2 linked regions of the Anolis sagrei genome follow. The protein of the gene in region 2 purifies or fractionates together with the protein of the main gene of each other region. This does not show direct contact. Links are inferred from orthologs where the notes say so. Each region holds a gene or a part of one and is shown on either strand. Other genes may lie near its edges.

Region 1 (7,123 bases), on a different chromosome or scaffold from region 2:
TTAAAGCCCTAAACGGTTCCGGCCAAGCTACCTATCCGACCGCATCTCTGCCTATGAACCCACCAGGACTTTGAGATCTTCCGGGGAGACCCTGCTCTCGATCCCGCCTGCTTCTCAAGCTCAGCTGGCGGGGACGAGAGATAGGGCCTTCTCGGTGGTGGCTCCTCGGCTGTGGAACGCCCTTCCTACGGACATTAGACTAGCACCATCTCTAATGGTATTCTGCAAAAAAGTGAAGACCTGGCTGTTTGAGCAGGCGTTCGAATAATTAGTGCAATGATTGGTTAATGAACACTGGAATGGAAAAATGGATGACGAATCTGGAACATATTTTTGATGACGAGACGACAGTGAATGGGTCGTGTAATGTGTTAGGTTGTTAACTGTTTCTATACTGTAGCACTGAATTTTTGCTGTTCGTATTTGTTGTGAACCGCTGTGAGTCGCCTTCGGGCTGAGAACAGCGGTATATAAGTAAGGTAAATAAATAAATAAAATAAAAAGGACAAAAACTTTAAAAATGACAAATGCCTTCTTGGGCAAGAAGGCATTCATTCCAAAATGATTCACTATTATCCACAATTTTGCATATCCACAAAATGTCTGGGATTAGACTGTGTGGTGTCATGGTTTGAATGTTGGACTCAGACACTGTGAGATCAGGGTTTGGTCTTGGCTCTATCATGGTAACACAAGGAGGCCTCATCTACACTGCCACAGAATGTGGATTGAACTGGATTATATCAGTGTACCAGTGATTCTCAACCTGGGGGTTGGGACCCCAGGAGGGGTCACGAAGGGGGGTCAGAGGGGTCACCAAAGACCATCAGAAAACACAGTATTTTCTGTGTGGAATGTTTGGCCCAATTTTGATGGTGGGGTTCAGAATGCTCTTTGATTGTAGGTCAGCTATAAATCCCAGCAACTACAACTCCCAAATGACAAAATCACCCCCCCCCCCCAAACTCACCAGTATTCAAATTTGGGCATATAAGCTATTTGTGCCACATTTGGTCCAGTGAATGAAAATACATTCTGCATATCAGATATTTACACTGCGAGCCATAATGGTCGCATAATTACAGTTTTGAAGTAGCAACGAAAATAATGTTACGGATGGGGGTCACCACAACACGAGGAACTGTATTAAGTGGTCATGGCATTAGGAAGGTTGAGAAACACTGGTAGACTCATATATTCCAGTTCAATGAGGTTCAATCTGCATTATGAGACTACATTTACCATTATAATGCTGTTCAAATTGGATTATATGACTGTAGATAATTCAAAGCATGTAATGCCCATTATCTGCTTTGAACTGGATTATAACCGGGATTGTGGCGCAGCTAGCTGAGTGTCAGCTGCATTAAGATCACTCTGACCAAAAGGTCATGAGTTCGAAGCCAGCCCGGGTTGGAGTGGGTTTCCAACCAATTGTGTGTAGCCTGTTGTCAACCTTTGCAACCCGAAAAACAGTTGCATCTGTCAAGTAGGAAAATTAGGTACCACCTTAAAGTGTGGGGAGGCTAAATTAGCTAATTTACGAGGCCACAAAAAAGACTCCAGCAAAGCATTCCAGCAAAAAAGCATGCGGGGAATGCGGAAGTACTTCATCAGTGTCACAGATGGACGATGAAAGCGACAGCTCCCCTGGCAGCCAGAAAAAGTTAAATAGCCTCTGTCTATGTCTGTATATGTTTTATTTCTTTCTTTCTTTTGTGTACTTCTACCCCGCCCTTCTCAACCCCCGAGGGGGGACTCAGGGCGGCTTACAAAATAGTAATACAGATAAGATATAGACAGCAATTAAAAACAGTTATAACAGTTAAGAACAATCAATATATATCACAGTCAATAAAAACAATCTTATGCTCAACGTTCGCAACTCAGAGTCCATAGCTTCATTCCACATTTTCCATTCCTATCAATCGTCATTGTCCTTTATTTATCTGCCAGATTGCCCAAACGCCTGGTCCCAAATCCATGTTTTTAATTTCCTTCTAAAGGAGAGGAGGGATGACGATGATCTAATTTCCCCGGGGAGTGAATTCCATATGTAAGGGGCCACAACCGAGAAGGCCCTGCTCCTCGTCCCCGCCAATCTCACTTGTGATAAAGGCGGGGCTGAGAGCAGGGCCTCCCCGAAAGATCTTAAACTCCGAGGTGGGACGTAGAGGGAGATGCGTTTGGACAGATACGCTGGGCCGGAACCGTATAGGGCAGTGGTTCTCAACCTTCCAAATGCCGCAACCCCTTATTACAGTTCCTCATGTTGTGGTGACCCCCAACCATCAAATTATTTTGTTGCTACTTCATAATTGTAATTTTGCTACTGTTATGAATCGTAATGTAAATATCTGATCTGCAGGATGTATTTTCATTCACTGGACTAAACTTGGCACAAATACCCAATACGCCCAAATTTGACTACTGGCGGGGTTGGAGGGGTTGATTTTGTTATTTGGGAGTTGTAGTTGCGGGGATTTATAGTTCACCTACAATCAAAGTGCATTCTGGACCCCACCAAGTACAGAATTAGTCCAAATGTCTCACACAGAACTCCCATGACCAACAGAAAATACTGTTTTCTGATGGTCTTTGGCGACCCCTCTGACACCCCTTGTGACCCCCCTGGGGGTCCCGACCCCCAGGTTGAGAAACACTGGTATAGGGTTTTGTAGGTCAAAACCAGCACTTTGAATTGTGCTCAGAACTGGATCGGCAGCCAGTGGAGCTGACATAACGGGGTGGTATGCTCCCTGTATGACGCTCCGGTGAGTAATTTCGCTGCCTCCTGCTGGGCTAATTGAAGTTTCCGAACAGTCTTCAAAGGCAACCCCACGAAGAGTGTGTTGTAGTAATCTATCCGGGATGTAACAAGTGCGTGGACCACCGTGGCCAGATCCAACTTCTCAAGGTACGGGCGTAGCTGGCGCACAAGTTTTAATTGTGCAAAAGCTCTCCCGGCCACCGCTGAGACCTGGGGTTCCAGGTTCAGCGATTAGTCCAGGATCACTCCCAAGCTGCGAACCTGCGTCTTCAGGGGAGTGTAACCCCGTCTAACACAGGCTGTAACCCTATGCCCTGTTCGGCCTTACGACTGACTAGTAGGACCTCTGTCTTGTCTGGATTCAATTTCAATTTGTTAGCTCTCATCCATGTTGTAAGTCAAATTGGCATTGAATGTTTGCCATATATGTACACTGTAATCTGCCCTGAGTCCCCTGCGGGGTGAGAAGGGCGGGATATAAATGCTGTAAATAAATAAATAAATATTCCAGTTCAATGAGGTTCAATCTGCATTATGAGTCTACATTTACCATTATAATGCTGTTCAAATTGGATTATATGACTGTAGATAATTCAACGCATGTAAGGCCCATTATCTGCTTTGAACTGGATTATATATAATTGAAAATTCATATAATCCAGTTCAAAGCAGATAATGGGCATTATATCTACACTGACATATAATCCAGTTCAAAGCAGATAATCTGGATTTTATATGGCAGTGTAGAAGGATGTATTGTCGAAGTGTAGAAGGAGTTTAGGAGAAAAATCTGAGGGTTTGGATTTGAAATGTCAAATTCCTATATAACCAGCAAACTGCAAAGCTGTTTTTTATTTTCGGAGAAAAATGGTTATGACCATCCATTTTTCCAAACTGGAACTCCCAGAGAATCTACACTGATGCAACACGATTCATTAAATGAAAATATTAATTTTTCACAGAAGAAAAAAATTTAGCCGAGCCAGCCAGGAGTCGAACCTAGAATCTTCTGATCCGTAGTCAGACGCGTTATCCATTGCGCCACTGGCCCTGCCTGACGACCCCTTTTCCCCAATTGCATTCTACATTCCGCCTGCTACGTTTCTAGTGGCTGGAAACAAAACCAGGGGTGGAGTTCTGAGTGAGGCATTTCTTTTTGCCAAGCCGAGCCAATCAAAACGCTCCTTGCTCTTTCACTCCGTTCCTCGTTGGTGCAAAGAAGAGTTTTCCTTTTTTTGAAGGGGCGGAGTTACCCCAATCCATTCGGCGTCTGAGGGGATGGTTGCGGGAACTTGACGTCACAATAGCGAGACCCCGCCCACGCGCTGCTTCGCTTCCGGGATAGGGCGACATGGTTGCGAGCGTCCGTTTCAGCCAATCCCAAACGCCTTACTCAGCGCGGGCGTCGAAATGCTTTCCGCTTAGTTTTGTCCTGTGTGGGGCGCCGTCCTGAAGGCCCAAGTGGAGGCCGTCAGGTGAGGCGCGAGAAGGAAGGCGGAGTCTCTGAGGCCAAGCTCGAGCCGGTCGGTTGGAGGAGGGAGAGGCGGGGCGGCGGCGGAGATGGCGGCGGCAACCGCAGCGGGGCGAGCCTACGAGAACCTGAAGCTGTGAGTAGCCGAGAAAGGGCGCCAGGAATCCCACCCTTCCCTTCAGGAGGGCCCGGGCTCCCTTCTTCTCTCCCTCGGTTCCCACAAAGGACACCTGCTGTTCGCCTTTGGCCTCCTCTTCGCCCTCCTTGATCCCTCTCCTTCCTCCTTAAGGCTCCAAGGCTCCCCCACGTCACTTTTCCTGTCAAGTGTGTCCTTCCCCATCTGTCTCACTTAACCGAAGAGCTCCCACATTCCATTTGAGTGTGTATATATATATATATATATATATATATATAATAGTATGTTATTATTATTAATAATAATTAATAATCTATATAAATAAAAATGTAATGTTAGTTCGTGCTACCATCAGAACTCAAAAACCACTGGGGGAATTGACACCAAATTTGGACACAAGACACCTAACAGTCCAATGTATGTCCTCCACTCAAAAAAATTGATTTTGTCATTTGGGAATTGTCGTTGCTCGGATTTATAGTTTACCTACAATCAAAGAGCATTCTGAACTCCACCAATGATGGAGTTGGGCCAAACTTAGCACACAGGGCTCCCATGACCAACCGAAAAAACTGGAAGGGTTTGGTGGACATTGACCTTGAGTTTGGGAATTGTAGTTTACCCACATCCAGAGAGCACTGTGGACTCAAACAATGATGGATCTGAACCAAACTTGGCACGAATATTCCATATTTTATTTATTATTATTTATTTATTTCACAGTTTTCTATACCGAGCTTCTCAACCTCATTGAGGGACTCAGCCCGGTTTCCAGCCATAAAAAACATATACACTCATTAAAATATCATATATCACAATTACAAAAACAACTTTAAATACACTATATATAAAACTACAGTGGTCAGTTGTCCTATTAAGATGGATCTACATCAACTTCCATCCAGGGTCCTATGGTGTTGTCTCATTCATCGAAGGCCTGACTCCACAGCCACGTCTTCACCCGTTTCCTAAATGTTAGGATGGATGGGGCGGTTCTGGCCTCCAGAGGGAGAGAGTTCCAGAGTCGCGGGGCCAAATATGAACACAGATGGAGTTTAAGGGAAATAGACCTTGACATTTGGGAGTTGTAGTTGCTGGGATTTATAGTTCACTTACAATCAGAGAGCATTCTGAACTCCACCAGTGATGGAATTGAACCAAACATGGCGTACAGGACTTCCATGACCAACAGAACACACTGGAAGGGTTTGGTGCGCATTGACCTTGAGTTTGGGAGTTGTAGTTCACCTACATCCAGAGAGCACTGTGGACTCAAACAATGATGGATCTGGACCAAACTTGGCACTTGGGATTTGTAGTTGCTGGGATTTATAGTTCACCTACAATCAAAGAGCATTCTGAACTCCACCAATGATGGAATTCAACCAAACATGGCATACAGAACTTCCATGACCAACAGAACACACTGGAAGGATTTGGTGGACATTGACATTAAGTTCCAAAATTCCATATGCCTAAATATAAACACAGATGGAGTTTGGAGGAAATAGATCTTGACATTTGGGATTTGTAGTTACTGGGATTTATAGTTCACTACAATTAAAGAGCATTCTGAAATCCACAGAAATGGGGCAAACTTCCCACACAGAACTCCCATGACCAACAGAAAATATTTAAGGCATCCAGTCCAACTCCCTTCACCAGGGCAAGAAAATGTAATCAGAGCCCTCCTGACAAAGAACCATCCAGTCATAAATATAGATAGATCGATATGATTCTCTCTCTCACACACAGATATAGTATCATAGATTTTAAAGAGACCCTTAAAGAAGGACTATGATATGTTGCATATTCCAGAGTAGGCAAACCAGACACTCTCCACATCAACACTGACAAAGAAACAACAAGCATAAAGGAATTATATATATTAGAAACCAAAACTTTCTCATTACTTTATTTTCCAGATCACCAGACTGGGCCACAGCAACGCGTGGCAGGGGACAGCTAGTAATTAATATATATTAATATAATAATAATATAATTAATATAATATATTAACCCAAACCCCAGCCCCGTTCTCTCTCTTTCTTAATATTTGATCACCCATCTTGGTATTTTTGGCTCGAGAGGCACAACACGCTTAACATTCACCATTATACTTGAAAACATTCCTTTGCCATTATATTTAATACTAGCCGTCCCCTGCCACGCGTTGCTGTGGCCCAGTCTGGTGATCTGGAAAATAAAGTAATGAGAAAGTATTGGTTTCTAATATATGTAATTCCTTTATGCTTGTGAGTAAACAGTATTTCTTGTTGGAGTGACCATCACAGTCATGCAGTCATGCTGGCCACATGACCTTGGAGGTGTCTATGGACAATGCCAGCTCTTTGGCTTCGAAATGAAGATGAGCACCACTCCCCAGAGTTTGACACAACTAGACTTAATGTCAAGGGGAAACTTTTATTAAGTTCTCTTATTTGGCAATATTCCTTGAAGATGTTGTTCCAAAGTTGTAAATGAATGATAGATTGTAATGGAAGCCTAGGATTTTACAATACTTTATAGTATTTTATCACTCAATGGGAATTTTTTGACATTTTAAATTTAATTTAATTTAATGGTAATTTTAATGTCCTACAAGGAAGTATTTATGTAACCAATTTGGGTTATCTTATCTATGTTTTTATTTTATATTCTGTTTTAATGATGTTGTAAGCCGCTTTGAGTCCATTGGAGAAAAGTGGCATAGAAATTCCCTAAATAATAATAACAAGAACAACAA
Region 2 (7,698 bases):
ATTTATATATTTATATATATATATAAAATTTTATATATATAATTTTATATATATTATTATATATATTTTAACAGGGTGGATATACATGGAGTAAAAGATGGGATAGCTAAGTATTTGTGTATGTATTTGTGTATGTATGTATATATAGAGAGAGAGAGAGAAAGAGAGAGAGAGAGAGAGAGAGGATATTATATGAATCTTTTCACTCTGTTGCAGGGATGTGGCTCATCCAGCCTTCAAAGAATTATGACTAATCTTCAAGAGAAATGGCTTGGCTGTGATGCCGCCTATAATCAGCTTCCCCTCCAAAGTGCCTATTTAAAAACCCATTTATCTCCTAATCTCCCTCTGCAAATTGATTCTGTGCATTCAATTAGGAAATGACATGAATAGTTTTCATGAATAGTTTGGGAAAAGGACAGCAACTCCCATGATGCCCAAAGCAACCCCCCCGATAATGGGAGGTGAAGTCACATATTTTAAGGGGAGAAAGGAGAGGGGACTCACTCGGAGCTGGACTCCCAGAAGAAGGGCTGGTTCATGGCGATGCGCTGCAGTTGGCTCAGGGTCTCGGTCAGTGTGGCGCTGAAGAGCATGGTTTGTCGCCCAGACGGAAGCGCTGCCAGGATGGTCTCCAGGTCTTGGGTGAAGTCAGTGCAGCCCTGTTCCAGCAAACGGTCTGCTTCATCCAGGACCTAAATCCCAATGAGGAAAAAAAGAAGGGATCCTAGAGCGGGATGACCCCAAAAGGTCATCCAGTCCAACCTCTTTCTGTCAGGTAAGAAGGCTCCATCTAAGGCTTCCTAAAAGATGGCCATACCGACTGAATGATAGACTCATAGAGTGGGAAGGGGTCCCCGAAGACCATCCAGTCCAACCCCTTTCTGTCATAGACACCATCCAAGCCCTCCCGACAGATGGCCACCCAGACTCTGCTCAATAATAATAATAATAATAATAATAATAATAATAAAATCCTAAAGTTGGAAGGGATCCCACAAAGGCCATCCAGTCCAACTCGTCTGTCATAAAGGGGGACACCATCAAAGCCCTCCCAACAGAGGGCCATGTAGACTCTGTTTATAGAATCCTAGAGTAGGATGGGACCCCCCAAGGCCAACCAGTTCAACCCCCGCCTTACCAAGACCTTGATCCGTTGAAGGCTGCAGGGGTTGGAGCTGCGGAGGTGGTCGGCCAGGCGCCCTGGGGTGGCGACGACCACGTGGGGCTTGCGGGAGAGTGCCAACGCCTGGGACACCATGTCTGCAAGGAGAGGGAGGGATCACGTCATGTATTCGTGGTGCACTCTCTCAGCTTTTCGGCCCCATATATACGTACCCATGCCGCCCACAACGATGCAGTCCTTCAGGCCCAGTGGCTTCCCTAGGACTCGGAACTGTTCAGCGATCTGGTAGGCCAGCTCCCTATTGGAAACAATAAATCGAGAAGGGAATATACATAATATATCAACACAGTCCATTCTACCACCTAGGAAGACACCATCAAAATCCTCCTGACAGATGGCCATCCAGACTCTGTTCAATAATAACAGCAACAATAATAATATAATCCTCGAGTTAGAAAAGACCTTTTAAAGGGCCATCCAGTCCAACCCCATTCTGCCGTAAAGGAAGACACCATCAAAGCCCTCCTGATAGATGACCACTCAGCACCTGCTTAGTACTAATACTAATAATAGACCTTGTGGGCGTCAGGACGAGGCAGAAGATGCCGTAGGGGTCCTCTGAGAGCCTCTGCAGGACCGGAAGCACAAAGGCAGCCGTCTTCCCACTCCCGGTCTTGGCACAGCCCATGCAGTCACGGCCTGGAAAGAAAGCAAGAACTCTGAACATGTTCTGAGGCAAGATCAGCTCAAAGGAAACCCCCCACCGCTTTGCTAAGGGGTGATTAGGCAAGCCCCAACCTTAGCAGCCTTCAAGAAGGATCTCAAAACTTGGCTTTTCTGTTGCACCTTTGGAGAGTGATCAGATATTTCCTTTTGTTGCTCCTCTCACAATGTTTGTCCTCATATTGCACTCCCCCCCTCCTGTTTGAAAGCCTGTCTCCACTACTCCGTCTCCTATGAGCTTCTCCCATACCAATATTTCTTTTACATCTCTATCTCATCTTGAATTTTATCATTTTATCTCGCACATGTGGGCCGCCCATTGGGATTGACTCTGCATTGTATTATTTTGTATTGTTTTATTGTATTCTTATGTTTTTATTTATTTAATTGTGATGTTTGTTTTGTTGCTCTGGTTTTATTTTGTACTGTTGGGCTTGGCGTCATGTAAGCCACCCCGAGTTTCCTTTGGGGAGATGGTGGAGAGGTATAAATAAAGATTATTATTATTATTATTATTATTCCACTGATTAGATTTAAATGTAGAACAGGGTTCATGGAGAACTAAGTGGAGAAAACACTCTGCCCATGCTCAGGAATCCCTCCCCCAGGCTATTTAGTGGGGAGGGTGATTTAGAGTGGGCATGGTTTTCTGTGAGGGCGTGGCTTGAAGAGCCCCCCCACTGGGGATCAAAGGGAAACTGAGTGGGCGGGGCTTCACGAAGGGCGTGGTTTGGCTGAGAAGGCTTTCTGTGGGGCCGTGGCTTGAACGCCTAATTGCCAAGGGAAACCTGGAGGCGTAGCTTAATGGTTTTTTTTGGTTGTTTTTTTTAAACAGAAGAACGGCCTGCCTCAGGGGAGCGTGCTTGTTCCATCCATGTTCAACATCTACACAAATGACCAGCCACTGCCAGGAGGGACAGAGAGTTTCATCTATGCTGATGATCGTGCCATCACCGCTCAAGCAGGGAGCTTTGAGATGGTTGAAAAGAAGCTATCCGAAGCTCTAGGTGCTCTTACTGCCTATCACAGGGAAAACCAACTGATCCCTAATCCATCTAAAACACAGACATGCGCCTTTCACCTTAAGAACAGACAAGCATCCCGAGCTCTGAAGATCACCTGGGAAAGGAATCCCACTGGAGCATTGCAGTGCACCCAAATACCTGGGAGTCACTCTGGACCGTGCCCTGACCTACAAGAAGCACTGCCTGAACATCAAGCAAAAAGTGGGCGCTAGAAACAATATCATACGAAAGCTGACTGGCACAACCTGGGGATCACAACCAGACACAGTGAAGACCTTGCGCTATGCTACACTGCTGCTGAGTACGCATGCCCAGTGTGGAACACATCTCACCACACTAAAACAGTGGATGTGGCTCGTAATGAGACATGCCGCATTATTACGGGGTGTCTGCGCCCTACACTACTGGAAAAATTACACTGCTTAGCCGGTATTGCACCACCTGACATCTGCCGGGAAGTAGCAGCCAATAGTGAAAGGACCAAGGCAGAGACATCTCCAGCTCATCCCCTGTTTGGGTATCAGCCAGCACGCCAACGACTTAAATCAAGACATAGTTTTCTTAGATCTACAGAGACACTCGCTGGAACACCTCAGCAAGCGAGAGTCCAAAAGTGGCAGGCTCAAACCCAGCACCTCAATCCATGGGTGATACCAGATGAGAGACTCCCCCCTGGGCACACAGAAGACTGGGCAACTTGGAAGGCGCTGAACAAACTGCGCTCTGGCACCACGAGATGCAGAGCCAATCTTAAGAAATGGGGCTACAAAGTGGAATCCACGACATGCGAGTCGAGAAGAGCAAACCACTGACCACCTGCTGCAATGCAACCTACATGCACGATGGAGGACCTTCTTGCGGCAACACCAGAGGCACTCCAAGTGGCCACATACTGGTCAAAGGACATTTAATCAGCTACCAAGTTTGCAAAATCTGTGTTTTTTGTTTTTTTTAAATCTGTGTGTTTGTTTTGTTCTGTTAGAAATGTAATACAATGGTCTGGTTGCTGATGACACGATAAATAAATAGCTTAATGTGTGGGCGTGGCTCGGAGGCTCTTCCAATGAGGGTTAGAGGCAACCGAAGGGGCGTGGCTTGAAGAGCCTCCCAGCAGGACGAAAGGGGGCGTGGCTTGAGGCGTCTGAGGGCGTGGCCTGGTCGAGCGCGCGAGGTCTTACCTTGGAGCGCGGGTGGGATGCAGGCCTCTTGGACGGGAGTAGGCCGCTTGAGGCCCAGTTGCTCCGCTTGCGCCGCCAGCCAAGGCGACAGGCCCAAGGCACGAAAGCCGGCTGCCGCCATCACACTCCGGAGGAAAGAGGAAAAAGGAAGCAATCCCAGAGTGCCACGCGGTGGTGCGCTCTGCGTCATGACGTCACGAACCTGAGTCGGGCTGTATAGGTTGTCATGGCAACGCTGTAGCTTGTGTCCCAGAATGTTCAGCGCGAAGCTTCAGAGCGTCGAACAAATTAGAAATCACAATAACACGAATATTATCATATTTAGTTGTTACCCAATACGAATTGATAGAAATTATAAGAAAAAATTAAAATACTATTATAATTTATAATTATAATATAAAATAATAGAATATATATATATATATATACTTATGATTTCTATTTATTTTTTTCTTCTCTTGATCGCAATCTCACTCCCAGTCTTGTCACTCTAAACTTTTCCTTTCTCTATGTTCACACTCTCTAGCGTCAGCCCTTTTCCTTGCCTTGATTGGTCAAACGGGAGAAGGGGCGGGGCACAGCGAGTGAATGACAGCGCGACGGCCAATCGCCGGCGAGGGAAGTCGGAAGTGGAGACGTGTCAAACCTTCTGAAGGGAAAGCCGGGCCAAGATGGCGACGACGGGGGCAAGCGGCGCTGCGGGCGAAGCCGACGAGCTCTTCGACGTCCGGAACAACTTCTACATCGGGGCCTCGCAGGCCGCCATTAATGAGGCGCAGCGCGTGAAGGTGAGGCGTCTTTTCTGCGAGGAGGAGCGGTTCCAAAAGCGACGAGGCCTCACTGAGCGGATTGGGGCCTGCAATGAATTCTGTCCCTCGGCCGCCTTTTTCGAAATGTATTCACTAGAGTGATAATATGTCTCCCTTTCTTCTCTCCTCAGGCATCCAGCCCTGAGAAAGAAATCGAGAGAGACGTTTTCCTGTTCCGCGCCTATATTGCTCAGGTGAGGTCGAGATATTATATTGTTAGGTTCTTGTGGGTTTTTTCGGGCTATAGGGCCATGTTCTAGAGGCATTTCTCCTGACGTTTCGCCTGCATCTATGGCAAACATCCTCAGAGGTAGTGAGGTCTGTTGGAATTAGGAAAATGGGTTTATATATCTGTGGAATGGCTGGGGTGGGGCAAAGAGCTCTTCTCTGCTGGAGCTAGGTGTGAATGTTTCAACTGACCACCTTCATTAGCATTTGAAGGCCTGCCTGAGCCTGGGAAAATCTTTTGTTGAGAGATGCTTGGATGTCCCTGATTGTTTTCCCTCTGCTGTTTTGCTGTTTTAATTTTAGAGTTTTTTAATACTGGTAGCCAGATTTTGTTCATTTTCATGGTTTCCTCCTTTCTGTTGAAATTGTCCACATGCTTGTGGATTTCAGTGGCTTCTCTGTGTAGCCTGACATGGTGGTTGTTAGAGTGGTCCAGCATTTCTGTGTTCTCAAATAATATGCTGTATCCAGGCTGGTTCATCAGGTGCTCTGCTATGGCTGACTTCTCTGGTTGAAGTAGTCTGCAGTGCCTTTCATGTTCCTTGATGCGTGTCTGGGCGCTGCGTTTGGTGGTCCCTATGTAGACTTGTCCACAGCTGCGTGGTATACGGTAGACTCCTGCAGAGGTGAGAGGATCCCTCTTGTCCTTTGCTGAACGTAGCATTTGTTGGATTTTCTTGGTGGGTCTGTAAGTGGTTTGTATGTTGTGTTTCCTCATCAGCTTCCCTATGCGGTCAGTGGTTCCCTTGATGTATGGCAGGAACACTTTTCCTCTGGGTGGATCTTCATCTTTACTCTCGTGGCTCATTCTTGGTCTTGCAGCTCTTCTGATGTCTGAGGTGGAATATCCATTGGCCTGGAGAGCCCAGTTGAGGTGGTTCAGTTCATCTTGGAGGAGGTGGGGTTCACAGATTCTTTTTGCACGGTCTGCCAAGGCTTTAATTGTGCTTCTTTTTTGACTTGAGTGATGGTTGGAGTTTTTATGTAGATATCTATCTGTGTGTGGGGGTTTTCTGTAGACAGTGTGACCCAATTGTTGATCTGGTTTGCGGATAACTAGGACATCTAGAAAAGGCAGTCTTCCTTCATTTTCTTTTTCCATTGTGAATTGGATTTTTGGGTGGATGCTGTTAAGATGGTCCAGGAACCTGTTGAGTTCTTCTTCTCCATGGCTCCAAATGGTGAAGGTGTCATCCACATATCTGAACCATATAGTGGGTTTTTTGGTTATTATATTATTATATTGTTATTTTTGTATTTATATTATTGTAAAACATATTATGCAGTAGTAATATTATTTATTTATTCATTTATTTATTTTTATCCCGCTGTTCGCGGGGTAAAAATAAATGAATGGTTAAAACAACAGAAATTACATGTCACAAAAAACACAACATCCTCACCCCAAATAAAACAGACACACAAATAACACATTCAGTTGTTGTGTATTTTCCGGGCTGTCCTGCTATGTTCCAGAAGCATTCTCTCCTGACGTTTTGCCTGCATCTATGGCAGGCATCCTTAGAGGTTGTGAGGTTTGTTGGAAACTAGAAAAATGGGGAATGTCCAGGGTGGGAGAAAGAACTCTTGTCTGTTTGAGGTAGGTGTGAATGTTACAAATGGCCACCTTGATTAGCATTTGATGGTCTAGTAGTTTTCAAAGTCTGGATTCTTACTGCCCAGGGGAATCCTTTGTTGGGAGGATTAGCTCAGGATTCCCCCAGGCAGACCTTATTTATTTATTTACTTATGGTGTTTATACCCCCCTCCTTTTCTCAGCCATATGGCAACTCAAGGCGGGTTACAGATAGGCACAGTTTGATGTCAGGCATTCATAAAAGTGTCATTTAAAACAATCAACATTACAATATAAAACATAAATAAAAACCGTTAAATCATTGGTGTCATCTTGTTAAAAACATCCAGTAACATCATCTGCCATTCCATGTTCATCATTCATAGTTCCATGTTATCTGTTCCGCTGCATTCTCAAAAGCTTGCTGAAAGAGCCAGGTCTTTACTTTTTTTTTCAGAGGGGGCCGATCTAATATCCCTGGGGAGAGAGTTCCATAGCCAGGGAGCCACCTCTGAGAAGGCCCTGTCCTTCGTCTCTGCTAATCGCACTTGTGAGGCAGGCGGGACCGAGAGCAGGGCCTCCCCAGATGATATTAAGCTCCTAGATGGTTCATAGGAGTAGATACGTTCGGACATGTAACCTGGGCCGGAATCATTTAGGGCTTTATAGGCTAAAGCCAGCACTTTGAATTGTGCTTGGTAGCAAATTGGCAGCCAGTGGAGCTGACGCAACAGAGATATAGTGTGTTCTCTGAGCACTGCTCCTGTTAGCTCCTATTAGTAACCTGTCTGCCGTTCTTTGGACCATTTGAAGCTTCCAAACAGTCTTCAAAGGCAACCCCACGTAGAGTGCTATGCAGTAATCTATTCGGGATGTAACAAGAGCGTGGACCACCGTGACCAAGTCAGACTTCCCAAGGTACGGGCGCAGCTGGCCTTGAAACTGCTAGGCCATTAAATGCTAATCAAGGTAGCCAGTGGCTACATTCATACCTACCTCAAACAGACAAGAATTCATTCTCCCACCCTGGACA

The links. Proteins that work in one complex are often made in the same cells at the same time.
Region 1: the proteins of COPE (region 2) and SACM1L purify together in Homo sapiens (affinity purification with mass spectrometry; 4 studies listed by BioGRID and IntAct, with this or other methods). This does not show direct contact. The link is inferred for Anolis sagrei from reciprocal best matches to the Homo sapiens genes COPE and SACM1L.

Annotation. Positions count from the first base shown.
Region 1 is NC_090026.1:77,910,364-77,917,486, reverse strand, and holds the start of SACM1L (phosphatidylinositol-3-phosphatase SAC1), read left to right. Parts: upstream 1-4,110; 5' UTR 4,111-4,330; coding exon 4,331-4,377; intron 4,378-7,123.
Region 2 is NC_090034.1:52,171,487-52,179,184, reverse strand, and holds the start of COPE (coatomer subunit epsilon), read left to right. Parts: upstream 1-4,678; 5' UTR 4,679-4,723; coding exon 4,724-4,840; intron 4,841-4,992; coding exon 4,993-5,055; intron 5,056-7,698. Other genes in the region: probable ATP-dependent RNA helicase DDX49, read right to left, coding at 508-695, 1,142-1,263, 1,339-1,424, 1,702-1,825, 4,053-4,242. UniProt on the Homo sapiens protein: The coatomer is a cytosolic protein complex that binds to dilysine motifs and reversibly associates with Golgi non-clathrin-coated vesicles, which further mediate biosynthetic protein transport from the ER, via the Golgi up to the trans Golgi network.